Linked DNA regions of Macaca fascicularis. The protein of the gene in region 3 binds, or shares a complex with, the protein of the main gene of each other region. Links are inferred from orthologs where the notes say so. Each region holds a gene or a part of one and is shown on either strand. Other genes may lie near its edges. The genes, in order: RUVBL2, VPS72, ING3, MEAF6, MORF4L2, ANP32E and MBTD1.

Evidence for each region.
Region 1: ING3 (region 3) and RUVBL2 share a complex: the UniProt entries of both Homo sapiens proteins name them as parts of the SWR1-like complex. The link is inferred for Macaca fascicularis from reciprocal best matches to the Homo sapiens genes ING3 and RUVBL2.
Region 2: ING3 (region 3) and VPS72 share a complex: the UniProt entries of both Homo sapiens proteins name them as parts of the nuA4 histone acetyltransferase complex. The link is inferred for Macaca fascicularis from reciprocal best matches to the Homo sapiens genes ING3 and VPS72.
Region 4: ING3 (region 3) and MEAF6 share a complex: the UniProt entries of both Homo sapiens proteins name them as parts of the nuA4 histone acetyltransferase complex. The link is inferred for Macaca fascicularis from reciprocal best matches to the Homo sapiens genes ING3 and MEAF6.
Region 5: ING3 (region 3) and MORF4L2 share a complex: the UniProt entries of both Homo sapiens proteins name them as parts of the nuA4 histone acetyltransferase complex. The link is inferred for Macaca fascicularis from reciprocal best matches to the Homo sapiens genes ING3 and MORF4L2.
Region 6: ING3 (region 3) and ANP32E share a complex: the UniProt entries of both Homo sapiens proteins name them as parts of the SWR1-like complex. The link is inferred for Macaca fascicularis from reciprocal best matches to the Homo sapiens genes ING3 and ANP32E.
Region 7: ING3 (region 3) and MBTD1 share a complex: the UniProt entries of both Homo sapiens proteins name them as parts of the nuA4 histone acetyltransferase complex. The link is inferred for Macaca fascicularis from reciprocal best matches to the Homo sapiens genes ING3 and MBTD1.

The regions. Positions count from the first base shown.
Region 1 is NC_088393.1:56,988,371-56,991,870, forward strand, and holds part of RUVBL2 (ruvB-like 2), read left to right. Parts: intron 1-974; coding exon 975-1,116; intron 1,117-3,500. UniProt on the Homo sapiens protein: Possesses single-stranded DNA-stimulated ATPase and ATP-dependent DNA helicase (5' to 3') activity; hexamerization is thought to be critical for ATP hydrolysis and adjacent subunits in the ring-like structure contribute to the ATPase activity.
Region 2 is NC_088375.1:110,036,189-110,039,688, forward strand, and holds part of VPS72 (vacuolar protein sorting-associated protein 72 homolog), read left to right. Parts: intron 1-144; coding exon 145-321; intron 322-3,500. UniProt on the Homo sapiens protein: Deposition-and-exchange histone chaperone specific for H2AZ1, specifically chaperones H2AZ1 and deposits it into nucleosomes.
Region 3 is NC_088377.1:162,563,701-162,567,649, forward strand, and holds the start of ING3 (inhibitor of growth protein 3), read left to right. Parts: upstream 1-1,149; 5' UTR 1,150-1,267; coding exon 1,268-1,295; intron 1,296-1,534; coding exon 1,535-1,606; intron 1,607-3,676; coding exon 3,677-3,777; intron 3,778-3,949. UniProt on the Homo sapiens protein: Component of the NuA4 histone acetyltransferase (HAT) complex which is involved in transcriptional activation of select genes principally by acetylation of nucleosomal histones H4 and H2A.
Region 4 is NC_088375.1:197,413,606-197,417,606, forward strand, and holds the start of MEAF6 (chromatin modification-related protein MEAF6), read left to right. Parts: upstream 1-1,201; 5' UTR 1,202-1,209; coding exon 1,210-1,299; intron 1,300-2,396; coding exon 2,397-2,512; intron 2,513-4,001.
Region 5 is NC_088395.1:110,058,189-110,062,308, forward strand, and holds the start of MORF4L2 (mortality factor 4-like protein 2), read right to left. Parts: upstream 2,801-4,120; 5' UTR 2,742-2,800; intron 2,269-2,741; exon of another isoform or gene 2,254-2,268; intron 1,478-2,253; exon of another isoform or gene 1,409-1,477; intron 41-1,408; 5' UTR 1-40. UniProt on the Homo sapiens protein: Component of the NuA4 histone acetyltransferase complex which is involved in transcriptional activation of select genes principally by acetylation of nucleosomal histone H4 and H2A.
Region 6 is NC_088375.1:111,027,968-111,031,908, forward strand, and holds the start of ANP32E (acidic leucine-rich nuclear phosphoprotein 32 family member E), read left to right. Parts: upstream 1-1,141; 5' UTR 1,142-1,477; coding exon 1,478-1,531; intron 1,532-3,941. UniProt on the Homo sapiens protein: Histone chaperone that specifically mediates the genome-wide removal of histone H2A.Z/H2AZ1 from the nucleosome: removes H2A.Z/H2AZ1 from its normal sites of deposition, especially from enhancer and insulator regions.
Region 7 is NC_088390.1:55,444,692-55,448,965, forward strand, and holds the start of MBTD1 (MBT domain-containing protein 1), read left to right. Parts: upstream 1-1,474; 5' UTR 1,475-1,506; coding exon of another isoform or gene 1,507-1,848; 5' UTR 1,849-2,175; coding exon 2,176-2,313; intron 2,314-2,359; exon of another isoform or gene 2,360-2,577; coding exon of another isoform or gene 2,578-2,598; intron 2,599-3,227; exon of another isoform or gene 3,228-3,291; intron 3,292-4,274. Other genes in the region: UTP18 (U3 small nucleolar RNA-associated protein 18 homolog), read right to left, coding at 1,507-1,848. UniProt on the Homo sapiens protein: Chromatin reader component of the NuA4 histone acetyltransferase complex, a multiprotein complex involved in transcriptional activation of select genes principally by acetylation of nucleosomal histones H4 and H2A.

The DNA.
Region 1 (3,500 bases), on a different chromosome or scaffold from region 3:
CAAAAAACACAAAAATTAGCCGGACATGGTGGTGCATGCCTGTAATCCCAGCTACTCAAGAGGCTGAGGCAGGAGAATTGCTTGAACCTGGGAGGTGGAGGTTGCAGTGAGCTGAGATTGTGCCACTACACTCCAGCCTGGGTGACATCTAAAAAGAAAAAAAAAAAGAATTGGAATTGGGTAGCAATTGCTTTGCCACCTTAAAAAAAAAATTAGGCTGGGTGCAATGGCTCATGCTTGTAATCCCAATGCTTTGGGAGGCTGAGGTGGGAAGATTGCTTGAGCCTAAGAGCTTGAGGCCAGCCTGGGTAACATAGTGAGAGCCCGTCTCTACAAAAAATTTTAAAAATTAGCTGGACATGGTGGCGCACATTTGTGGTCCCAGCTACTCAAGAGGCTGAGGTGGAAGGATCTCTTGATCCCTAGAAGTCAAGGCTACAGTGAGCCGTGATCGTACCACTGTACTTCAGCCTGGGTGACACAGTGAGATCTTGTCTCCAAAAAAAAAAGTGGAGAAAGCTTTTTTGGCTTTTCCCAGAAGTCCCGCTAGTAATGTCTGCTTCCATCTCACTAGCCAGGATGTGGTGGAAATGTAGTGGTAGGGCCAGGCGCGGTGGCTCAAGCCTGTAATCCCAGCACTTTGGGAGGCTGAGACGGGTGGATCACGAGGTCAGGAGATCGAGACCATCCTGGCTAACATGGTGAAACCCTCTCTCTATTAAAAAATACAAAAAACTAGCCGGGCGAGGTGGTGGGCGCCTGTAGTCCCAGCTACTCGGGAGGCTAAGGCAGGAGAATGGTGTAAACCTGGGTGGCGGAGCTTGCAGTGAGCTGAGATCCAGCCACTGCACTCCAGCCTGGGCGACAGAGCGAGATTCCGTCTCAAACAAACAAAAAACAAAAACAAACAAACAAAAAGAAATGCAGTGGTAGCCCCGTAGGAAATCACCTCATGTGCTGCCTCCCACCCACAGGCTTCGCAGGGCATGGTGGGTCAGCTGGCGGCACGGCGGGCAGCTGGAGTGGTGCTGGAGATGATCCGGGAAGGGAAGATTGCTGGGCGGGCAGTCCTCATTGCTGGCCAGCCAGGCACAGGGAAGACGGCCATCGCCATGGGTAAGAAACCTCCCAGGGCAGGAACTCTCCTGGTCCTTGGTAAATAACTCCTCCTGTGTGAGTCAGGGTCAGGATCAGCTGCATTTAACAGGTGACCCAAAGTGGCAGTGGCTTAAACACTCACAATTCGTTCTCGGCCGTGGAAGAATCTAGAGGTAGGCCATTTGGGGCTTATTAAGTAGTGCCAGGAAGTCTTCCGTCTTCCTGCCTCATCATCCTCTGCACTTGGTTCCAGTGTCAAGAGGACGTCGTGTTCCAAGAGGGCTGCCGGAGCTCCAGCCTTCGCATTCATAATCCAGGCAGCAGGAAGAAAAGAGTTAGCATGAGGGTGAACCCCTCCGGTTGGCTTCCTTTAAGCAGTCATCTTGGAAATCCTCCATGTTCTGCTTATATCTCATTGACTAGAATTTAATCATATGATCACACTCTGCTTCTGGGGAGGCTGGGACATTAGATGTTTGTTTAAATTTCATAATTTGGACCATTTTTGCCTTAAGAAAATGAGGATTCTTCTGTTGGACAACAGGTTGTAAAAATAAGAAATTTTAAAAAAGAAAATAGGAAAGAAAATGAGGGTTCTGGAACTAAAGAGGAAGGGGAAGGTGGGTATTGAGGAGTCACCCAGCATCTCTATTGCAGTCCACTAGTGATTTATGATTTTTTCACTCCCAGCTGTTCTTCTTCTTCCTTGTTGAACTCCTATTTATCCTTCAAAACCCTATTTCAGCATCTCTGCCTCACTGAAGCTTTTCCTAACCCAATGCTCTTCCCACTCACTCCCACCTCTGTGCTGAGGATGGGGCCAGGCAGGGAGAATCTGAGTAACAGCCAGGTCTTCAGTGAAGATAAAGCAATGCCTGTTGGGGTGCCAGGCCTTGCACTGGACACTGGGGACCCATAGATGAGTTAGACCAAGGCCTGACTTCAAAGAGCTCCTGGTCTGGAGGAGGTGGTCATGGACACGATCCCTTCCAAGGTGACATGTGTTACAGCGGAGGTAGCATGTGACAGAGGAGGCGCCTGACCTTAGTAGGAAAACGGGGCATGTGGTGGCATTTGTCGGTAGAGGCTTCCAAAGAAGTGGATACCTGAGCTAAGCCTAGTAGGATGGCCAGGAGGCTCCTGGGCAGACACTGGGGACAGCATGTCCAGGCCCAGAATGTGGCACACACAGTGCCTTCCTTCCCTCCATCCTTTCTCCTTTCCTCTTCCTTTTTTTTTTTTTTTTTTTTGAGACAAGAGTTTCACTCTGTTGCTCAGGCTAGAGTGCAGTGGTGTGATCTTCGCTCATTGCAACCTCTGCCTCCCGGGTTCAAGTGATCCTCCTGCCTCAGCCTTCCAAGCAGCTGGGATTACAGATGTGTGCCACCACGCCCAACTAATTTTTGTATTTTTAGTAGAAATGGGATTTCACCCTGTTGGCCAGGCTGGTCCCGAACTCCTGACCTCAGGTGTTTCCCCTGCCTGCCTCGGCCTCCCAAAGTGTTGGAATTACAGGCGTGAGCCTGTAGACTTTATTTTTTAGGCATGTTGTGACCGTGCCTGGCCTCGCCTTTCCTCTTCTTGTGTCTCCCAGGCAAAGCCTCCTGCAGACCAAACCCTGTGCTGGGCAGCACTGGGGTGAGGCTGGCCTCGCCCTGAGGGGGACGCTCCTTAGTCTAGTGAAGGAGGCAGAGAGGACCCCTGGTATCCCCAGGTGGCATGGGTCATGCTCGTCCACTCAGTCCTCAGCAGATACTTGCTGAGTTCTGTGCTGAGGGCCATTGTGCATCCGCAAAGGGGACCAAGAAGAGGTGCCCCTTGACCCTGGGCAGGAGGGTGTGGCAACAGCCTGTCTGTAAGGGCATGCCCCACATTGGGCCAAACCTTGTGGCCAGGAAGCTGGAGGGAAAGGTCTGGCGCTCAGAGCCATTGCTGGAGACAGCCTTGCTTCCTGCCAGCCACCCCAGGCCACAGGCGGTCGAGCGCCCTGCCCTGTGCCGGTTTCAGGCTGTGCAACCATGTTACCGCTGAGCACCAGTGCCTGCCTGCCTGCCTGCCCATAGTTGCTCCTAGGCAGGGTGTCATGCCATGCCAGCACCTATTCTGTTATCAGCCCCATCAGACCGAGGGGGAAACAGACTCGGGGAGCCGTCCAGATCACACGGTGCCGACTGCACTAAGTGGTGGATCTGGGATCAGAACCCAGGCAATCTGCCTTCATCACTTGTAACTATTGTGGCAGCCCCTTGGCCTTCGTCCCTGCTCCCCATCGCCCAGCTCTGAGGCTAAACAGCTCATAAAGGCTGGGAGACTGAGGTGTGGTGAGGTTCTAGGGTGTACACTCTGGGCAATGTGGGATTCTAAGCCAGGCCTGCCAGAGCAACCTGCCCTCCCTGGCTTCT
Region 2 (3,500 bases), on a different chromosome or scaffold from region 3:
GCAGTGAGCCGAGATCGTGCCACTGCACTGCAGCCTGGGCAACAGAGCGAGACTCCATCTCAAAAAATAATAATAAAAATAAATAAATAAATAAAATAGGTGGACGTAAATTCAAAGATTTCTTCTTATCTCACTCTCTTCCAGGTAGGAAGTCCATGCGTCAGTCTACAGCTGAGCATACACGACAAACGTTCCTTCGGGTACAGGAGAGGCAGGGCCAGTCAAGACGGCGAAAGGGGCCCCACTGTGAGCGGCCACTAACCCAGGAGGAGCTGCTCCGGGAGGCCAAGATCACAGAAGAGCTTAATTTACGTTCACTGGGTCAGTCTGTGGTTTCAGAAAAAGTGGGTAGAGGGGCTGAGGGGCATGAGAAAAACCATGAGACCTGAAGAACCAAAGAATTGGAGAGATGGAAATTTGGGATGAGAGAATCAGAAGGAAGAAATGGCAGAGAGTAGATGATTAGGTGCAAAGGTCTAGGCAGTTATGAGCACTCTGAAGAACAAGCTAAGGTACTTTGGTGTAAAATAAGAGTTGTATAGAACTGAGGTCAAATCCTGGTTCTGCTATTCACTTGCTTTCAGACTGTAGGTAAATTACTTTACTTATTCACATTTTGCTTTTCTTGTTTATAAAATAGGGTGTACACCTAATGACTCAGGGAATTTAGGCAGGAGTATTGCTTAAGGTCAGGAGTTCACAACCAGCCTGGACAACATAGTGAGACCCCATCTCTTTAAAAAAAAAAAAAAAGCAGGGGGTGATAATGTTGACTTTAATGATAATCATGAGAATGTAAAGTCAGCAGATTAGTCCTTCATGAGATAAATTGCTTTAAAAATCTCTTCATTTTATGGTATTGCTTTAAAAATCTCTCCAGTTTGGGCCAAGCGTGGTGGCTTATACCTGTAATCCCAGCACTTTGGGAGGCCAAGATGGGTGGATCACCTGCAGTTGGGAGTTCCAGACCAGCCTGGCCAACATGATGAAACCCTGTCTCTACTAAAAATACAAAAATTAGCTGGGCGTGGTGGCACATGTCTGTAATCCCAGGTACTTGGGAGGCTGAGGCAAGAGAATCATTTGAACCTGGGAGGTGGATGGAAATTGCAGTGAGCCGAGATCATACCCCTGCACTCCAGCTAGGGCTACAGAGCGATACTCCATCTCAAAAAAAACAAAACAAAACAAAAAAAACCCTCGGCCGGGTGCAGTGGCTCACGCCTGTAATCCCAGCACTTTGGGAGGCCAAGGCAGGCGAATCACAAGGTCAGAAGATCGAGGCCATCCTGGCTAACATAGTGAAACCCCGTCTCTACTAAAAATACAAAAAAATTAGCCGGGTGTGGTGGTGGGCACCTGTAATCCCAGCTACTCGGGAGGCTGAGGCAGGAGAATGGCATGAACCTGGGAGGCGGAGCTTGCAGTGAGCCGAGATCGCGCCACTGCACTCCAGCCTGGGCAACAGAGCGAGACTCCGTCTCAAAAAAAAACAAAAACCTCTCCAGTTTATAGGCATAGAACCATGTACGGTATTATATTATACAAAAATATATACTTCTTTATAGAGTAGTAAGAGTCTCATATCATGAAAGGTACATGAGAAATTGAGGGACCAGCAGATTCATACCTCCTGGTACATACTTTCTGGGTGAAATAGCATGTGGAATCACCTACAGTATTTAATATGTTTTCTTTCTCTTTTTTTGTTTTTGACACGGAGTCTCTCTCTGTCGCCCAGGCTGGAGTGCAGTGGCGCGATCTTGGCTCACTGCAACCTCCGCCTCCCGGCTTCAAGCGATTCTCCTGCCTCAGCCCCCCGAGTAGCTGGGACTACAGGTGCATGCCCCTACGTCCGGCTAATTTTTTGTATTTTTAGTAGAGACGGGGTTTCATCGTGTTAGCCCGGATGGTCTCTATCTCCCGATCTCATGATCTGCCTGCCTCAGCCTCCCAAAGTGCTAGAATTACAGGCGTGAGCCATCGTGCCTGGCTATTTTTCTCTTTCTGAATCTCCTTTTTATTGTTGTTCTCTCTCTCCTTTTTTTTTTCTTTTTGGCCAACCATACATAATTGAATATGCATAAGCCAGATGTAATTTCCCAGAAGTGGGAGATTATTTACCTGGAATATCTGGGACCCATCCATACCAGATTAATAATAGTTTTTTTTGTTTTTTTTTTAGGCAGAGTCTCGCTCTGTCGCCCAGGCTGGAGTGCAGTGGCGCGATCTCGGCTCACTGCAAGCTCCACCTCCCGGGTTCACACCATTCTCCTGCCTCAGCCTCCCGAGTAGCTGGGACTACAGGTGCCCGCCACCGCGCCCGGTTAATTTTTTGTATTTTTAGTAGAGACAGGGTTTCACCGTGTTGGCCAGGATGGTCTCGATCTCCTGACCTCGTGATCCGCCCGCCTCAGCCTCCCAAAGTGCGGGGATTACAGGCGTGAGCCACCACGCCTGGCCTAATAATAGTTTTGCAATTTAGATAACTTCGCTGGGCATGGGTGTGGTGGCTCACAAGCAACAAGGTCACCTTGATGTTACTGTAGTTACAGTCTGCATCCTTTGTCCACATTGATTGGTTTGGACTACCGTAAGGAGAGTGACTCCTAGGTTTTCCGTGTCAGTAACTGGCTTAGGAGACCCTTAAGGAGGAGCAAGTTCAGTGGGGAAAAAATAAATTTATTTTTGAACATGTTGAATTTAAGGAGTTTGTGAGCAATTCATGCAGTGATGAGAGGTCAGTTAAATATGCAAATCTGGTGTTCCAATAAGAGATCTGGGCTGAAAATATAAATTCGGAAGTCTTTAGAATATGGATGGTAATTAACAATATTGGAGTGCATCTGAGCATGCAGGGAGAAAGCACAGAGTGAGAAAACAGAGGCCTGATAGAGTCCTGCAGACACTAAAGCGTGATAGTTTCATACAAGAGGAGGAGCTTTGAAAAGAGCCTGGAAGTGACCAACGAGTTGGAGAAACCCAGGAGAGTTTGTGTTAAAAATGCCAGGAAAGAGAATGCCTCGAGAGAGTGACTACTGATTGCTGCTGAGATGATGATTAATAGAACTGAGAAGTGCCCATTGGTTTCAGTGAGATAGAGGTCAGACATGACCTTAGCACTTATTGGCGACCAAGCCATATCGAAGTATATTGGGGAGCAAAACTTTGCAAGCTTGGCTATGAAGGGTAGAAGAGGGAATAGAAGCTACAGAGGGGTCTGAGATTAAGGTAAAGTTGTTTTTATTTTATTTGAAGATAATTAGAAACTATATCTTTCATGAGAAACAACTGAGTTTAAAGAAAGAGAAGAAAGAAAGGTTATTAATAGTGTAGGTTTTTGGAGATGGGAGGCAAGGCTGGGAGATAGAGCAGCATGGTGGAGGAATTGGCCTCAGATGGGGGAGGTGAGAAAGAAAGTGTGGTGGCCGGGTACAGTGGCTCACACCTGTAATCCCAGCACTTTGGGAGGCCATGGCAGGCAGATCATCTGAGGTCAG
Region 3 (3,949 bases):
ATTCACGACAGGGAAGTTTCCTGCTTAAGATGAGTGAAAACCTTGAGTAAGAGTATGTAATGGAGAAGGAAAGCAGGGAACACACACACACAGTTTCAACTGCAATCTGAAAAACAGAAAATGAAAAATAAATTATCAACTAATGACAATTTCCCCAGAAAATCGAAGAGCTAAGAAGAGAGGAAAACAACACCTAGTATTTATTGAATGCAAGAGTTTTTAATAAAAACAATGTAAAAAGAAACTGAGTAGGGACGTACTAACTATATCACAGGAAAACCTTCGCTGGGAGACGTCGAAAAGTAGAAAAAGAACGCCCAAGACAACCAACCTCGAATATGGACTATTTACTCAACATAAAGTTACTGCTATTACAGCCTATTCGAGATGAAGGCTCCATCCGTAATTCATGGCTGCTCACTATGATGATGATGATTATTACTATTATTTGTGGGTGCACATTGTATGTATAGATCAATTACATTAGAATGACGATTAGACGGACTGCAAACTACAATATGTAAGTGGCTATTGACACTATTTGTGCATCTTTTAATCTGGGAAATGCATATTCACTCCACAGTCTCAGTATAAACCATTTCAAAATTACACGTAAGCCAACCAGGTGTCTCTCTTATATTTTAGGAGTGAATAATGAGGATAAATTCCAGCAGAGAGTTCTGGTTTAAGTAACCCAAATTCCCCGAACTTTGCTGATTATCCTAGCGTTTAGAACCTTTGCTATTTGCCTGGCACTTCTTGAAACCCATGACTCACAAACGCCGGGGCATGGAATCACAGCAAAGAACAGGTGAAAAGTTGTTCCTAGTTGTGTTATGCAGGCGCACACAACTCCCGCCATTCTCTGTGCAAAAATCAACAAATAAACAGAGGCACCGCATTTCGGATTCTGTTACGCACTGTTTGCAATGGCGCCTGGTATTGGTAGTTTCTACGAGGGGAGCCGCCAGCGCGCCAACCCTTGCTCAGCAGGAAGAAAACTACATTTCCCACAAAGGCACGGGGGCGAACACCGGCCGGCTTACGTCATTCCTTTAACCAACCAATAGCAGTTCCGGGCGGCAGTGAGGCAAGCGCCGTCAGGCGCCAAAGTGGTTTTTTTTTTTTTCTCTTTTTTTTTTTTTTGCCGGAGTCGAGCGGGTGCTGCTAGCGGAGGCGCCATATTGGAAGGGACAAAACTCCGGCGACAGCGAGTGACACAAATAAACCCCTGGACCCCCTTGTTCCCTCAGCTCTAAGGGCCGCGATGTTGTACCTAGAAGACTATCTGGAAAGTGAGTGCGCGGCGCTGGCGGCGGCCGCCGGTGGGACCTGCGGGAGGGCAAGAGCGCGAGTGGACGGGCAGCGAGATGGCGGGAGGGAGGGGGCGGCGGGGGATGTTTCTCTCTCACGGTAACTGGCAGCCTCGTTGTGGGCTGCCGGCCCCCTCGACCCCCCTGACGCACGCGCGCAGTGACGTAAGCGCGTATTTCGCCGTTGGCCCCGCCCCTCTGACGGACTCTCCCTTTGACAGTGATTGAGCAGCTTCCTATGGATCTGCGGGACCGCTTCACGGAAATGCGCGAGATGGACCTGCAGGTGCAGAGTAAGTCGGCGCGTCTGCTCTTCATGTTGGCTGCGCGCGTTCAGTGCCAGACTTGCTTTTCATCACTGCTAGCGCCTAATGCTCTTTCACTGTCCTCTGGCTCACTCCGCTAGTGCATAAGGAGTTGTCAAAAAGAACTGGCAGCCCTGAATCTCGCCTTTTCTTTCCCTCCCATGCTACTTTTTTCTGGCTTTTGCAAGAGGAGGCGGCATTGGGACAGGTGTATTCCTTTCTAGAATGTAGGATTGTGCAAAAAATATTTCTCTACCGTCATTGAGATAGTTATCTATGTTTCAATGCACGTCAGCATAATAAATGTTGAGATGTTGTCTTGAGCCTTTTCGTATCGAACTTAGATTTCAGCATTTATACTTATTTTAAAGTTCATCCTATTCAGTTTTTCAAGAGTGGAGAGCATAGAAGCACAGGTTATATATAGCTCTTTAGAGACCCTGGCGAATGTCAAATTTTGAAAACTTAGTTACACATTATAAGATACATTTTAAATTGTAACAGAATCGTCATTTTCTTGGTTAAAATGAGTGACAGAAATTAGATTTCACTGTAAAGTTTCATATGTGCTGTACTAAAAATTTTAGCAGTTAGTGAACATTTATTTTTCTTTCAGTGATAGCTTGGTAGTCTCTGTGACTTTTTCCCCAAATTAACTTTACTCTTTCGTAGAGCAAGGACTATAAATAGGTGGCTTAGGGACCACTTGCTGCAGCTAAGAACCTGTCCTTTTCACTGCCCCTGTCTTCTCTGCCCGTGACCACACACCCACTTCTATACCCTTTGTTTATGCGTATATGTTTCCAGTAAGTTTCAGGTGGCACATAATAAAAAGTGGTGGCATGGAAGCCACCTTCTGTTCAGTGGATTGTGGTATGAAGTATGAATTGTGTGTGTGGTTCTCCAGCTATCTCACAAATTCATTTTAATTTTAGTGTAGTCGAAATGCTAAAGATTTGCTGAAGTATTTTCTGCAGGACTGAGCATAGACATGGATGTCAGATAGATCTGAGTTTGTTTTAGGGCTTTACTAATTTACTCATTGACTCTGACTGTATTACCACTTGTGTGGGGCTTTCATTGTCTGTAAAAAGAGAATCATCTAAGGATTTAAAATATTACAGATGGATTAGAATTTATAGTATCTGATACAAAGTAGGCATTAAATAAAGGGTAACTTATTTTAAATTTATTTTTATATTTTGTTTAAAATTTTAAATTCTCATAATTTGGGCTTACAGTATACATATTACAGGGTTTTTAAACGTGCATTTCTTTACAGTAACGAATTTTCTGAAGTTAATAGATATTATGGATTAACAGAACAGTGTGCCAAATAAATTCAGAAATGCTTATTTAAACAAAGGAAGATACTGAAAATTAACCATAGTACTTCACAGAGTCTTTAAAAGGCTATTGTGGACTGAAAATCTCCAAAAGAAGTATGCTATGAAAAGATTTTTCTCAACTTACGTAACAACAGAATCCTTTTTATTAATTTTTCCTTTTTTTTAAGCAGACATCCAATGAGATGATTAGTCTTAGCACTTAATTTGGGGAAAATTTATCTAGAATTAATGTTTAAATGATTGCACCTACTACTTTCAGTTGGGATATGACATGATGAGATGTTTAATGCCTTATACCAAATCTTTTTATCACTTTTTCTTGTTGAAAGAAATGTGAGGATTATCTAATGGTGTTTTCATTGTGTTTTGGTACATTTGTCTGATTAACACCTATAGCTTTTGACCCCAAGGCTGTATTGCTCAAAAATTATAGGATAGAGCCGATCTACTTTGTTGACTCTACTTTGGCTATTGGAAAAAATTTTGAAATAACAAAAACAAAAATAATCTGTCAATAAGGAAAATTGTAACTTTTTAAAGGAAGGTAATTGAGGCTTTATATATTTACATAATCAAAGCATAACATATTTAAGTTACTGGCAAAGTGAAAGAGTATATATTGTCAGATTTTTTTCCCTCCCTAAATCAAACCATGTATATTTAGTATATGAATTTGGTCATTTAATATGATTTTTTTATTATGTCATAGATGCAATGGATCAACTAGAACAAAGAGTCAGTGAATTCTTTATGAACGCAAAGAAAAATAAACCTGAATGGAGAGAAGAACAAATGGCATCCATCAAAAAAGTATGTGCGACACTTTGGATAATTTATCAAGAAATATTGGGACCCTCTGAAAAAGATATTTCAAAATTAAATAGTGATCTGGATATCAAAATAAGGGAATATTATCAATGACTCTTTAGAATGTAAATAATTTAGTGTGGTTTAGAGCTTCAGATAGCGATTTTTAGTCATT
Region 4 (4,001 bases), on a different chromosome or scaffold from region 3:
GACAAAAAGATAGAAAATATAGACGGTAGGTTAAAAATAAAGGTTTCTTATGTTCGAGTTCCAGAAAGAGAGAGAATATGAGACAGGCATCTGAAGAAAAATGACTGCGATTTCCCAAAACTGGTGGAAGATACCAACCCACAGATTATAGAAATCCAAAGACTTCCAAGCAAGAAACAAAACAAAAAGAAAAAATATCCCACTTAGACTTATGATAGCGAAATTGCAGAAGAGTGAAAGATGGAGAGCTGAGGAGGGAGAAATCAACAGGGGCCAAGTGAAAACAACGTCTACACCTTGGACTTAACGATAAAAGCGAATTCGTACTTGCAGAGTCATTGGCACCTGCCAAACCCCTTACACACATTAGCTGATTTACTCCTCACAGCAACTGTATTAAGTAGATTCTATCACTGCTTTCATTTTACAGATGAGGGAGTTGAGATTTGGTTATTTACCCAAAGGGGCACACTTTATCGATGTAGCGATAGGATTTTGAACAAGGTAGTTCTCGCTCCAGTTTTGTGCCCTTAACCACTACACATACTTGTTTCTCCAAAGGGCAATGGGAAAATGGGAAGCCACTGAAAGGCTTTAAACAGGGGAGTGATAACATTTGTTTCTGGAAGATTCCGGCACCACTGTGGATAGTGGATTAAATGGGGCTAAAGGTGGAAATAAAGAAGCTGTTGGAATAACGTAGCCCCAAACAGGGAGGGCCTGAATGAACTAAGAAGGTGGCAAAAGGCGCAGGCACAAGCAAATGGATTCGCGAGCTCTTCCGGAGTCGAATCCACAGGGCTTGACCTGGTATCGCGTTTTACTCCGGGTGCAGAGTGAGGAAAACCGGGTTTCTGACGCAGGCAATTGCGGTGGATAGTGAAAGTCATTCACTGAAGTGGACTGAGGCGGGACGCACAGGAGACTCGGAGGCCTGAGGACGAGCTAGGCTTTGGACACGGTAGATTTGTGCCGTCTGTAAAGCCCGCGGCCAGCCGAGGGGCAGGAAACGGCGTAAAGGGCAGAGCAGAAGCCGACTCTCTGGACCTCTCCGAGAAGGATCGTCCAGAGTCCCGGCCGCAGAGCACCTCTGCGCGGCGCTGCACGCGTCTCCGGAAGCCGCGCGCGCAGGCGCAGTGCGGGGGGCGCCCCCTGGCGGCGCAGGGACCGCCCCCAACCTCGCGCCGCCGCCGCCCGCCTCAGCCCAACATGGCGATGCACAACAAGGCGGCGCCGCCGCAGATCCCGGACACCCGGCGGGAGCTGGCGGAGCTCGTGAAGCGGAAGCAGGAGTTGGCGGTGAGGGGCTAGGACCGGGGTTGCCCGGCATGGGGCTCCGCGCCCGCCCCGCCTCCAGGCCCCAAGCCCGGCTGCGCCAGGCCGTTCGTTACTCCGGGGGCGCGGCGCGGCGGGCTGTGTGCTCGGCGGCCTGAGGCCGGGTGCGCATTCTGCGGCCCGCCGGCGGTTCAGCTTCCCGGCTGTGCGAATCCGGAGCCGGGAGGGAGCTGGGAGCGCGGGAGGGGGAGGGGCAGCGGCAGCCGCAGGAGGGGGCGTGGAGGGAGGACGGTGCCGGGGCTCGGGACTCGGGGAGAGGGCGCTAGGAAGGGCGAGGCGGGCGAGTCCGTGATCTTTGCGGGGTGGGGGTGGGGTAGGAGGCTAGTGTGGGAGGGGGACCGAGTCACCCTGTCTGGACTTTGGAGGATGGTGGGGAGCGTGTTCTTTTTGGTACTAGTAGTAGATCCGTTGAATGGAGGCTTTTGATAGACAGGGTTGTGATGTGTTTGGGAATATCTAGAAGGTGACAGGCGAGGGAGAAGAACACATTCTGGAGAATTCGGAATTGTGACAGGCACCCAAGGCCCAATGCACCCTGGTGGCTAAGCTCTTCCTGCCCTCACGTCTCGGCTTGGGCACCCCGGAGGCCCCTCTCACCTGAAGCTGCCCTTCCAGGTTTCCATAGCAACTGGCAGCCCGGTGCCGGCGGCCTCTCTGAGCCTGCGGGGAGGGGAGCGAGTTGACGCTGAAAGGCTGCTCACCCTTCCCTCTCCTGGTAGCGATACCTTTTGTGCGTGGGAGTGGATATCGCACAAGTTCTGCGTTAGCCTGGGTTCTTGACTCCTGGTTTCCGTGAATCCTCTAAAGTATATGCAAAATTTCGCGTGTGTGTGTATTTTTCTGGGGACATGCTTTATACATTCAGAGGTCCATCACACCCAAAGGTCTAGACTGTCTTAGTCCTAAACGGCTGCTCCTCCCCATATCATCCATCTCTCCACAGGGTGATTTAGTGTGGACAAGCTTGCGTTTACAAATCTAATATCAGGATTTCATTTTGGTCAGACTTAAGTGTTTGCATTTAAAAGGCATTATTCATGTCCTTGTTTTTCATCTCTCAGGAAACACTGGCAAACTTGGAGCGACAGATCTATGCTTTTGAGGGAAGCTACCTGGAAGACACTCAGATGTATGGCAATATTATTCGTGGCTGGGATCGGTATCTGACCAACCAAAAGTGAGTGTCGAAAGCCTGTAGTGTTCCTATTGTGTTCCTATTGTGTGTGTTTGTAGGACTGTAGGCTCTTAGTAGCAAGTTTGCTAGAGGCAGTAGTAAAGTGGTGGTGTGGTCTGGACTTGAACTCTTGGACTCTGGCTCAGGCACTGCCTCACTGAATAATCTTAGACAAAGCTCACGTCTGTAAAATAGCAAAAGTTGGGCCTTTGGCACAGGGTTGTGTGAGGCTTAAATACAGCATATAACAATATCTTTATACAACATCACTCTATTAAATTTTTTACACATTTTAATCAGTCGTGAGTTCTACCCTCACAGTATTTTTCTTTTCTTTTTTTCTTTTTCCTCCTGAGTAGCTGGGATTACAGGCGCATGCCACCATGGCTGGCTAATTTTTTTATTTTTAGTAGAGACGAGGTTTCTCCATGTTGGCCCAGCTGGTCTTGAACTCCTGACCTCAGGTGATCTGCTGCCTTGGCCTCCCAAAGTGCTGGGATTATAGGTGTGAGCCACCATGCCTGGCCACTTTTCTTTTTTCTAAGAGACAGGGTCTCATGCTGTTGTCCAGGCTGGAGTGCAGTAGCACAATCTTAGCTCACTGCAGCCTCAAACTCCCGGGCTGAAATGATCCTCCCACCTCAGCCTCTCAATTAGCTGGGACTACAGGCACACAATACTGCACCTGACTAATTAAAAACATTTTTTTTTTTTTGTAGAAGTGGGGTCTCACTTTGTTGCCCAGGCAGGCCTGGAACTCCTGGTTTCAAGCAGTCCTCCTGCCTCAGGTTCTCAAAGTGTTGGAATTAAAGGGGTGAGCCACCACGCCCAACTGACCCTCACAATTTTTGCCATACCTGTGTGCCAGCTGTACCACTGCTTGCTTAGTAATATTTTTAAAAAATTTCTAAACTTTTGGATTATCTTCAAGTTATAGAAAAATGGGAAGAATAGTATATGAACACTTGATACTGTCCTACCTGTATTCAGATTGTTAATGTGTTGTGACATTTGCTTTCTCTTACTCTCTATAATATTAATATAAGCACACACCTGTATTTACATTTCACGTTTTTAAATTGTGAAATAATTATAGATTCATAGGGAGTTGGCAGAATGGTCTTTTGTAGTCTTCATCTAGTTTTCCCCAATAGGTGTGTTGTTTTTTTTTTTTTTTTTTTTTTTTTTTTTTTTTTTTTTTTGAGACGGAGTCTCACGCTGTTGCCCAGGCTGGAGTGCAGTGGCGCGATCTCGGCTCACTGCAAGCTCCGCCTCCCGGGTTCCCGCCATTCTCCTGCCTCAGCCTCCTGAGTAGCTGGGACTACAGGCGCCCGCCACCGCGCCTGGCTAATTTTTTGTATTTTTAGTAGAGACGGGGTTTCACTGTGGTCTCGATCTCCTGACCTTGTGATCCGCCCGCCTCGGCCTCCCAAAGTGCTGGGATTACAGGCTTGAGCCACCGCGCCCGGCCAATAGGTGTGTTTTATATAAC
Region 5 (4,120 bases), on a different chromosome or scaffold from region 3:
ATCCTCACTATACAGCAAACTTAGCTTTTCTGATGGTGACCTAGAAGGTCAAACAAAAGGACAGGAAAGGACATAAAATAAAAAGATATGAGATATGGCTTTCTTCTACATCAGCCAATGCAATTTCATCACACACAAAGGACACCAAAGCTGATAAATAATGTACAAGTATTTCTTTTTCCTTTCTTGTGGCTACATTTTCAAATTTAACTTATTGTATATTTATATAACTTCTGACAATTTTTTTAACTTTTCCTTAAAGATAATTTCAAATGGATGAAATAAAAGAATAGTATTACAAACCTACACGAATCCATCATCCAGCTTTCAACAATTACCAACTGAAGGCCATCTTGTTTCATCTATAACCCCACCCACTGCTCCCCCCCACCCCCGACTTTTTCAAGCTCACGGGAATATCTGACTTCTGTATTTTATTATACAAAAATTTAAACGTATACCAAGGAAAGCAGATTAATATACGGAACCCACTGCCTATCACTCAGCAAAAACTATTATTAATTTAGGGTCAATTTTGTTTCATCTATACCCCTCCCCATTTCCCCCTACCGCTTAGATTATTTTGAAGCAAATCCTAGTCATTAATGTATTTAGAAGCCAATCCCAGACATTATATTATTTAATCCGTAAATATTTTCGTATATGTCTCTACAAAAAAGGACAATTTGAAAACATAATCACAATACTACTGTGACGCCTAAAAAAATTGACATCAATTCCTTAAAAAACATCAAATATCGAATCCATGTTCCAATTTTCCCGATGCGTCTTAAACATATTTTTACAGTTGGTGTGTTCGATTCAGGATCCAAACAAGGCCTACTCATCGCATGTGGTTCATCTCCAGCTCGCTCTCGTTCTCCATCTCTTTCTTTCTCGCACTCCACCCCCCCACCTTTTATTTAACTTTTCAACATGGGAAAATTACAATCTCTGCAATTTTGAGGCAATTCCCAAAGAGCAAATTATTTCATTGGTAAAAATTGATATATCTCTTTTATCTTTAATTTATTCTAGGAAAGAAGTTGATGGCAGAAAGGGCACTACAATTAGCGAATTTATATAATTTATAATTTTTCTCATTCTATTACGTGTATTATTTATCTCCATAACAATAGCTAATATCTTCAGGGGCCAGGCTTCATATTACGTGCCTTATACGCACCATTATACAGTACACGTCTCTGAGGTAGATACTATTATTATCACCATTTTACAAACATGGAAACCGAGACACAGAAAGAACAGGAGCCTTGCCCAAGCTGGGCGTTGGCGAGCAGGAATCTGAATCCAGCTCTGACCGATTGTGAAGGAACTAGCTAATCCCGTCTATACCCGACGAAAAGAGGAAATCATCGACCCTTTCTCCCCACCCCCACCCCGAAACCTGAAACGAGAATCCAGATCTTCCCAGCAGACGACGTGTGATCACTGCCGTTCCTCCAACCGCCATAGTAAAGCCAGGTTTCTCTGGCAACTGATATCCATAGGCAGACACGTCACCCTGGAGGAGGGCGTATGCCCTTCAGCCAATCACAATCGTCTTGTCTAAGTTTTAGAATGTTCCATAACCAAATGATTGGACAACCACCCCCACGTCAGCAATGACACTTCGCCGCAGTAAAGGCGGGTGCTAGCAACCTGCTTCTTCACTGTTAAGGCCTACAGCAAACCAATCCTCTTCCTCCGTCAGTGCGCGTTCCGGCCAATGACGTTCGCCCTCTTAGGTTTTTAGCCCGCCCTCCAAAAGCGTGACAGCCGTTGGGTCATAAGTCTATAGGGCAGAATGTTCACGTGGCCTATTTCACGACCCAGAGTTCCTCTGACCAGAAGGTTTTTTTTTTTTTCCTTTTCCTTTTTTTTTTTTTTTTAATTTTTTTCCTGCAGGGAGGCATTATGGGTTTGTGTTTCCCCCCAGCCCCCCACTGGGAGAGGAAGTGTCTACGTGGCCTGCGGAAATAGGCGGAAATGAGCTAAGGTTCCCGCGAGTGGGGAAGCGCGAGGTCAAATCTGGAGCCACGCCCCCAGGCCTGTGGCGCAACTCCCCGAACATGGAAAAAAAAGGCGCAGTGGGGGGTTCTGCTGTGTTTGCGAGTTAGGGTCGTGAGTGCAACGGGCGCAAGGCATTAAGGCCAGTGTGTTAGTGCGCGGGCAGGCTCGAGTGCCCCTGGGGTTGCTGTGTGAGCGGCCCTCGTGGCGCTGGAGGTGATGTGTTTGCGCAGGCGTGCGCCCCTGGCGTCTGGACTGGTGAGAGCCACGGCGCGCGCCCGCGTGCGTGATTGGGGTGGGAGTTGCGGGGAGGGGTTAGCTACTGCGCGCAGGTTATCTATTTCTGTATTTTGTTTGAAAATGTTCTAATGAAAAGGAAAATAAATAATTAAGGCAAGGCGACAATAACAGAGATAAAGGGGCACTGTCAGAAATATTTTGGCTTTCCCTGATTTAAATACTCCTCTGTGCCAAAATCCGGTCGTAAACCACAGCCCTCCAATGATTCAGAGCCAAAGCCTTCCATCGTCACATTAGCAACTCCAAAGGGAGACTTCTTTCAAGTTGTCTAGTATCCTCCTCCCTCCCCTCTTCCACACCTCCCCCCTCCCTTCAAGGTTGCGTGCAGTTCTCTTGGCACAAATACAATTTTCCTATGAGAATATCTATCTATGACAGCCTTCCCCTCCGTTAGAGACTCCGGATTTTTATGGTGACTAGGGCGCTCTTACCTTTGCGTTCTGATCTCCAAGCAAGCACACTGACCTTCTTCAGGCAAATACGCACTGTTAATTTTCCAGAAAGTTCTGTGGGTAAGGTTTATACCTCTCGAGTTCGCCACTAGATGCCGCCAAATCCCAGCAAAGGATTGGCTGTGTGGTCCCTGGGATTCTGGGATTTTGTTTCCCTCCCCCCTCCCCTTTCTTGATTTGCTGAACGCTAATATCTAAGGCATCATTGATATCGTTCATTCCTAGGAAAAAATAAAATCAGCTTCTGTGAATAGCACTAGTAGGCAGGGAACTGTGACCCAAGATCCAAATAATTTTACTCATTTCTTTCCTTTTCTCCTTGGGTGGGGGGGCGGGGGGGAAGGCCCCTCTCCATCCCTCGCTTCTTTTGTCCTTGCCTTGTTTAATCAAAGAGTTAATGAATGACCCAAGCACTGATGCTGAAGATCCTAACCCTTTTTCCTCAACTTTTCAAATGCTCGCAACTCACCCAAACTGAAAATACAGATAGCTGTTACTTTAGTAAAGAGATAAGAACTCATCAGTAAAACTTGGACCCTGGTATTGAAAACTGATTTTCCAAGGCCGGGCGCGGTGGCTCAAGCCTGTAATCCCAGCACTTTGGGAGGCCGAGGCGGGCGGATCACAAGGTCAGGAGATCGAGACCACAGTGAAACCCCGTCTCTACTAAAAATACAAAAAAATTAGCCGGGCGCGGTGGCGGGCGCCTGTAGTCCTAGCTACTCAGGAGGCTGAGGCAGGAGAATGGCGTGAACCCGGGAGGCGGAGCTTGCAGTGAGCCGAGATCGCGCCACTGCACTCCAGCCTGGGCAACAGCGTGAGACTCCGTCTCAAAAAAAAAAAAAAAGAAAACTGATTTTCCTTTTCTCTTGAAATTTGTATCAGATATGTGTGTTTGCACCCTATTTTCTGTAGTGGTATTGGTAGATTTTATTGTGTCTTTGGAGTGAGAGAAAGAGACTTAATTGTTAACCTCATTCCACCACTTACTAGTCTCAGTACCCTGGGCAAATGATTTATGTTCTGTGATCCTCAGTTTTTTGTATGCTTTCTATATTTTAGATGCTGTGTTATATCCTTCATGTCGATTTTTTTTTAAATTTATCACCAAGTCCTTATTAGATGAGCAGTACTAGATCAAAGTCAAACAACAAAAATCATACCCCTTTCAATTATCTATCTTATATACTTGTACACAAGAGGGATTTTTTTAGAGCAGTGGTTCACAAGATGTGTTTCCTGGATGTACCAGAAACATCAGCATCACCTGAAAAATTGTCAGAAATTCACATTCTCAGGTCCCACCTCAAACTTAATGAATCAGAAGTTCGCACGGTGGGGTTTGGTAATCTGTGTTA
Region 6 (3,941 bases), on a different chromosome or scaffold from region 3:
TATTATCCTACTCTTTCATATCCCATCCCACATAGACAAACTGGTTTTGTTTTGTTTTTTTCCTTCTTCTGTCTTGAACACTAAATTTTAATCCCCTGAGGGAGTGCACTGTTCCTGGAGGTACTGTAATACCAGGTGGATGCGTTAAGTGAACAAGAAAGCTCCTATTGCGTCTTCCTGCTCCCCAAATCCATTTAATATATTGGACTCGGATAGAAAATATATCAGATATTAAACTGTTAAGAACAGATCCTACACTTGATCTTAGCCAAAAGGCAGAGAAGAAGCGATAAACACTTTTAAAAGCACACTTTACCTACAGATTTCCATGGAAACCAACCAAAGGGAAATTAGAGAGGCATTGCTGTGCCATTTCTATGCTAATTAATGTCTGATTTTCATTAGGCCAGCGTTGTTTTTCCTCCAAGGTCTTAGTGTTTATTACAGCAAAAATTAACTCAGTAACAATTCCTCCAGGATAGTTTTATTTAAATATTATTAACTTACATACTTCACCCAACAGCTTTCAAAATTGTTGTCTTTTATAGTGTTAAACTACCATCTTTAAAATCTTGGCTCTGGCTCTGCATCACGGAAGGTCAGCCTCTGTGAAAAGCCTGACCCCAGCAGGACAATGCCACCAAGGCATCTTTTTAATGTGATGCGCACGTTGCTGTACACCTTGGCTGCAAAGCAGAGGCTGTGTTTTTAAAACGGCCAAGAGCCAGTGCATGCCGTGTGGTGAATTATCAGTATCGCAAGTTGGGCACGGAAGGATGCTTTCTCCCTCTTTAACACTAACAACAGAATAAAAAACCAAAAACTAAAAACCAAATCCAACAGACAACAAAACCGTCCGAGTGCCCAGGGAAAGCGCGCCAACTACATAAAGAAAAGTAGGGGGGGAACTGGGATTCAAAATCATTACTCCCGAACGTACACCCTCCTGGACCTATCAGAATTAACTGCGCCCTTGATCGTAGCCAATAGATACGGAGTTTCTGGTCCAGGTCCTCCCTGAAGACTGATAGACATTTACCTAGCCCAATGGAATAATGTGACGCTAAAGAATCAACCAATACGTTTGGGAGGTGGGTGGAGTGTAGGCCAGGGGGTTGGCGGTGCCGTGTCATGGAGGCTCAGTCTCTGAGCAGCCATTGAAGGGGAAGGAACTGCGGGTGTGTGTGTGTGTGCGTGTGTATGTGTGTGTGTATGTGTGTGCGCGCGTGCGTGCGTGTGAGTGCGCGCGCTAGTGTGTGGACAAGGAGGTGGGGGCAGCTGAGTTAGAGTCCCAACTCTTGGACTCCATTTGCTATTCTCTTCTTTCTCCCCCACACCTATCTGGTGGTAGTGGGCGTTTATATTTGCGTTCCTTTTCATTCATTTCTAAATCTCTTAAAAATTTTGGGTTGGGGGTATTGGGAAAGGCAGGAAAGGGAAAAGAAGGAGAGTAGTAGCTGAAGAGCAAGAGGAGGACATGGAGATGAAGAAGAAGATTAACCTGGAGTTAAGGAACAGAGCCCCGGAGGAGGTGAGATGACTCAGCCCCCACCCCTTCCCCATCAGTCCTGTATTCTGAGGATCGGATTTCTGGTGGTCCTGGGTGGGTGTGCGGGGATGGAGTAATAAGTTAGCCCCCGCCCCCCCGGTTTAGGGTTGGGGAAATGTTTAATTTTAAGTTTTAAATCATTAAAATCTTCTACTTAAAATGGCGAAGGGTTGAAGTTTCTAGGGGCGTTTTTGTGTGTGCATGGGGGCTTAGCTCCTTTCGGCTTTCATCGAGTCGGGCGTCCTGGCCTCGTGGGGGCGGGAAGCGGGCTGGTGGGGGCGCTCTGCCGCTTCGCTCCCGGCGCTCCTCCTCCTGAGGGCCAGCGGCGTGGGACGCGACCCCCCAGTCCCACTCGGCCCCTGCCGCAGCCATCGGCGCCTGAGAAGTTAGTCCAACTTTTCTGCAGTGCGGCCAACTCATCTTTTTGGGGGGTGGGCTCCCCCGGCCTCGAGGCCCTGGGCGTCCGACGTCGCGACGGGCGCGGACTGGGGTCGCTTTCAGGGTCCGCGCACTGTCTGCTCCGGCGGCGCCCACTCCTCCGGGAAGCCGCGCGCGCTGCCCTCCGCCCTCCGCCCTCCGCCCTCCGCCCGGCGGAATCTGGGTCAGCCGCGGGTTCTCTGACCGCGGGCGAGTTTGGGGACTCGTCGCAGTGACCGGAGGTGGGGAGGGGACGGGAGGCGTAATCCGCTTCTTCCCCCGCCGTGTAAAGATATGTGGCACGTCGTGTGGCCGCAACTCTTGAATTTGATCCCTGGAGACGGTTTCACAGAACTCAACATTAAGGGACGTAGTAGTTTCGTGCTTTAAAGATGGGTTCGCCGAAACTAAATGATGCGCTCTCACTGCTGTTGCCTTAGTTAAAGAGACGGGGTTGGGAGGGGCCACATGAGGCGGGGTCGCGGTCAACTTTTCGGGGGTCGGGCAGGAGGCGTTTCCGCCTCCTTTTCGCGGTTGCCTCCTCGGCCTCACCTACCCAGGGCGAAGGCGCGAGGGCAACGCGGGTTGGGAGGCGACCCCTTTTTTCCTTGGGGAGTCCCCGCCCGGTGTGGGGTTTCCCGTCAGTCGGAGCGGCAGGTCGCGAGAGCAGGGCTGGTGGCCAGCGGGGAGCCTCGCAGAGGAAAGCATCTGTCTTGCTGAAAGAAGCCCTAGAATTGGAATGTAAGGGAGTTGTCTGTAGCTGGATCGACCGATCGATAGAAGGATATAACGGGTGGTGTCTGTGCAGACCCGCATAGAGGATGAGCAGGGTCTGTCTAGGCTTTCGCGTACGGCGTGTGGAGTGGCAACTAAGACTTTTTTTTTTTTTTTTAATACATTTTTTTTTTTTTGAGACGGAGTCTCGCTCTGTCACCCAGGCTGGAGTGCAGTGGCCGGATCTCAGCTCACTGCAAGCTCCGCCTCCCGGGTTCACGCCATTCTCCTGCCTCAGCCTCCCGAGTAGCTGGGACTATAGGCGCCCGCCACCTCGCCCGGCTATTTTTTTTTTTGTATTTTTTAGTAGAGACGGGGTTTCACCGTGTTAGCCAGGATGGTCTCGATCTCCTGACCTTGTGATCCGCCCGTCTCAGCCTCCCAAAGTGCTGGGATTACAGGCGTGAGCCACCGCGCCCGGCCTTTTTTTTTTTTTTTAAGGTGCCTGTTTTCTGAAATTGGCAGGGGCCAGGGAGGGGAAACAGTTGCTTGCTATCAGGGTCATCCCGGAGAGATCTTGAAGTTTCTAGAACTTATTCTTAGGGGCTTCAGGGAAAAAACAAAATCAAACTTGAAAAGCTGTCTCTCACAAGCACACGTTTAGAATACTTTTTGGTGGCTTGGGTTGGAAAATTGAATCCCGCCCCCGCCTCCCCCGCCAGGATTCTTTGACTTAGTGATTGTAGTAATTTCTTTGCCAGTTTTGGGAGTGCAGGACGTTGCCTTTTTTCAGCTTCTTCCTCTGTGTTGTAATAACGGTCTCTTACATTTGTGTAGACAGTTTACAAAGCACTTTTTCCGTTTGTTATTTACTTTCCTCCTTACACACTTGTAAAGTGGATTGTGTTATTCTAGAATCCAAATTAGCAGACGGAGTCTCAGGACAGTGAAATGATTTACGCAAGTGCAGGAATTGGTTTTCTGACACCAAATCTAGTAGCCCCCACTCCTCAACTAAATGGGGAGTGTGAAGACGAACCAATTCACAGCCCTGCGGCAAACCAAGTGTGACTCTAGGCAAGCCATTCTTGTTCTCTGGGCCATAGCTTCCACTTCTCCAAAACGGAGCTCAAGATGCTCTCTCTGGCAACAGAAATAATTATGTCAAAGTCGTATTCAAATAGAGAAGGTGGCATTCCTTGTTGCCAAATTTTAGCCCTCGGATACCTCAAACAGGTTTTCACATCGGGTATAGAGAACC
Region 7 (4,274 bases), on a different chromosome or scaffold from region 3:
GAGCCGAGATGGGGCCACTGCACTCCAGCCTGGGCAACAGGGCGAGACTCTGTCTCAAAAAAAGAAAAAAAAACTTTGGGAGGCCGAGACGGGCGGATCACGAGGTCAGGAGATCCAGACCATCCTGGCTAACACGGTGAAACCCCGTCTCTACTAAAAAAATACAAAAAACTAGCCGGGCGCGGTGGCGGGCGCCTATAGTCCCAGCTACTCGGGAGGCTGAGGCAGGAGAATGGCGTAAACCCGGGAAGCGGAGCTTGCAGTGAGCTGAGATCTGGCCACTGCACTCCAGCCTGGGCGACAGAGCGAGACTCCGTCTCAAAAAAAAAAAAAAAAAAAAAAAAAAAACCTAAACCATAGAATACCCCTTGAAGTGAGTTTGAGCTTCCCAAAACCACAGGACAGAAATGTCCAAGTGGTTTCTACTTGCTCTACTACCAGTCTAATAAACAGACTTCAAACCCAACAGCTCCCACCTCAGTACACTCTTCCTTTTCCAGACGACAAAACTGTCACAAAGTTCAGTTTCCAGTAGCAGTTCTGTACTTCCCAAATAGATTGCTGCCACTTCTCCCACAAGCACCCGAAGGAGGCTCTGGTAAGCAGCTGACATTAGATGGGTCAGCATTTGTGTAAGAAACATGGACTGGGTAATTTTCGGTGCGCTTTCCTCCGCCCCCTATCTAAAATTTCACAGGCCTCCTCTAGACACGCTCATCTCCCTTTACCGTATGTCCTTTTTTCTCTTCAGCACTTGTCACCAACAAACCTGAAGTTTACCGGTTTATCTCATCTATCTTGTCTCTGCCACTAGCATACAAGCTCCAAGAGGCAGGGATTTTTGTCAGTTTTGTCCATTGCTGTGTCTCCTCCAGTGCCTAGAACAATGTCTGGGACTCTCTCAAGAAAAGCCTGGTATAGAATTAAATGGATAGCAAAATGTGTGCAAAAAGTATGATGAATCACGCAGGGTTTGCCATTGCCAGAGAGGGTATCTGGCAACCAACAGGTTCCCCAATATTTGCTAAATGAACGAAATTCACGATCATTCTCAAAATCCTGTGGGTCTCACAGTCACATGGGGAGATAGTTACAACGCAGATGCCCAGGCCCGTGCCCACGAATTGATTCCATCAACGAAATGGAATTCCTAGATCACAAGGAACTGAGGCAGGTGATCAAAAGACCACATTGTTTGGGGAGAGGCTAGCGGAGCCGAGCAGCGGCGAAAGATGCTCACTACCACAGTTCGCAAAGCAGATACCCGAGCAGCGGCGCCTCCGGGGGCGGAGAAAGGCGCGGTCCCCGCCCTCCAGACACTTTCAGTCTGGAGCAGGGAGGCGAAGGACCCGCAGCTGCGACCCTCGGCGCCCGCGTTCTCAGGCTCCCTCCCACCTGAGCGCTCCCCGCCGCCGCAGGTCGCCCAGGCTCCGCCCCCCAGAGCTTCACCGCCCACCGCGCGCCCCGCCCGAGCGCGCCCAGCCCGCGCGCCGCGGCCTCCCTCACCCGCGGGCCCCGCAGACGCCGCAGCAGAGCGTCCTCGTCGTTCTCGACGTCGCCGAAGACCAGCTCCTCCAAGCACCGCTCCACGGCTGGTTTGTCCTCCTCCAGCGTCAGGCGGTTCCGCTGCCGGAGCCGTCTCTCCTCCTCCGCCGCCGCGACTGCAATCGCAGCGGCCGCAGCGCTCGGCCGGGCCGGCGGTTTCCGCTGGGATGAAGGGGCAGGCTTTTGGGGAGGCCGGCCTGGCCCTGCTCCGGCTTTCCAGTCCGGCCTCGTTCCGGGCTTCCGTTTCGGCTTCGCTCCGGTTCTCCGGTCCAGTTTCATTCGTCTCCTCCGTTCCGGCGGCATCGTTAGGTTTGAGGAGAAACGCAGGCGCTCACGTGGAACCTCGCTGCGCATGCGCCCAGGCACCTCCCTGGCCGCCGCCGCCGAAGCCCCTGGGGCCGGAAGGAGCCTGCGCAGCCTCTTGCCACGTGACCAGCACTCCCTCCCTCTACGTAACTCTCACTCCCCTACCCAGCCCCGCCCCGTGTGGGAGTTCCTCCGGGAGGGCCAATCTTCCGGGTGTAGGGGGAAGCGGCGTGACTGGAGTGGAAAATTTTTCCAACACAACTTCGCAGCTGCAACATATTGAAAGGAGCGCAAGAAAGCCCGAGTATACACTCGGACAGCTGAATGAAACTTCTGCTTTTCCTGTTGACTTTAACCAGTGGCTTTAACACAAGCTCCAATGCGCTTTCCACCTCTCGTCTTGGTACGGTCCTTGGAGTACGGAGCCTGCAGAGGGTCCCACGCTGGAAGCGAGTGAGGAGGGTATGTAGGGAAGTGGGCCAATCGGGGCGCGGGTCACGGCGCAGGCGCGCTGGGGAGGGAGGGCTATGCTAATGTTGTTGATATCCTGGGGCCACCCGAGTTAAAGGGGGGAAATCCGGGGGCTGCCGCAGCCGCCACCGGTCTGGGCCCAGCCGGGGGCCCTCTGTAGTCGCCGCAGTCCCGGGGAGAGGCACCTGCCCCCAGCCCGGGGAGGGGGCGCCGCGGGCTCGGGGAGCACGGACAACCCCTACCCATGAGGCCCTGATGGAAAACACAAAGGATCTGGTGAGAGCCGAGCGCGGCAGCCGCTTTGTGTGCCAGGTGGGGGGGACGCCTGCAGCTCCCCGACCCCAGGAACCCCGCAGCTCCTTGACCCTGCTCCCTGGCCTGCTTCTCCATCCCACGCCCCCTCAATCTCCGGAGCCCCCCCTCCCCCTTCCAGCCGTTAAACGATTCAGGGGTTCCCCTCCCCCCACCCCGTCAGCCCTGGACTCGTTGGGGTTCTCTCCATCTCCTCCACCCTCTAGAAGAAAAATTCGAGAAGAAAGTTTTTCTCTGCGTCCTGCCCCCGCCCCCTGCTCTGGCTAGGGGGGAAAGGCTGGATCCGAGACTTTTCCTTTTTTAGCCACCCAGGGTGGGAGAGTGGAGTAGTCCTCTCTTCTTCGCGGGGAGGGAGAGCATAGTTTTGGTGCTTTGCAGGGGTAGGAGTCTGTCCGGCTTGGGGCCAGTGCCGCGAGGCGGTTTGCACGTGGAGGTGGAAATATTGAAAGGGGGCGGGGTGGGCACGTGCGGGAGAGGTGGGAGTGGTGTTTGGGAAGCAGCCTCCAAGGCTGCGTATTTAAAAGGGTTTCAAGTCGGTGGGCTTCTATGACCATTGCGTTCTCCTTTGTGAAATAAGAATCCTAACATTTCAGAGTCGGAAGAGACATTAGAGGTCATCTAAAGCAGCCGTCCCCTCTGCAGCCTCTCTGACAAGGGGTAGGTAGTCTGACCCCTGCTTAAACCCCTAAAAGCACTGAGCGCTCACTACTGCCCTGGAAAGCCCATTTTTCAGTAGTTCTAATTGTTGTCTGCCTACCCTTGTTAGACCCTTCAGTCTCTCATTCATGTCCTGGTTAAGTTGCTCCTTTTTTTACTTCTCAAATTTTCTCTCACATCCTCCTCACCCACCCACTGCTCATTGGCCTATATTTTGTGTGCCAGGAAAGAACAGCAGGGAAGTGGAGGAAGGGGGGGTTGAGAGATAGTGAGGGCCAGCCGAAAACTTTGCTGGGTCAGTGTCAAATGTGCTGCCTTACATGCCTGAAGGTGTTTTTTCTACAGGAAGCTAAATAATTACAATATGGGAATTTCATGCCTGTTTTCTCTCACGAGTGCATCTTTTTGAAGTCAGAAATTTCAGCGTCATCTCCGTGGTTCTTGTATCGCAAAACACATTTGCGGATTACCTAAATCACTTCTCCTAAGGATGTCTAAAACTGTTAGGGATGGTACTGAAGCATCACCTGATAGAGGGATGATTAGATGATTACCGCCCCCACCCATTTGACCTGTGTTCCTCGGGAGCTAGTCTTTCCTCCAGGGGTCCCTCTTCCAAATGCTTTTACTCCTTTTTTTTTTTTTTTTTTTTTTTTAAGTAACTATCTTTTATGAGATTTGAAATTTATGGACCATTTTAATACTTGTTTAGAGTTTACAATATTTTTAATTCTCCTTATACTAGCATACACCAGTACTTATCCCTGGCTGGTTGAGATAGGTCAGTTGAAACTATTGTCACTGGGTGTTTCTTTAACATTCTCCTTCATTTGGTGAGCTGTGCTGCCTCCAAAAGTAGTTTTATTGGCCTAAGAGTCTTGGATGTGCCTGTTTCTCCCTAATATGGTGAATTGGGGGGTCAAGACATAACAGATATAATGTAGAAATAATGCATCTGATTTAAAAGCCAGCAAATAAATTTC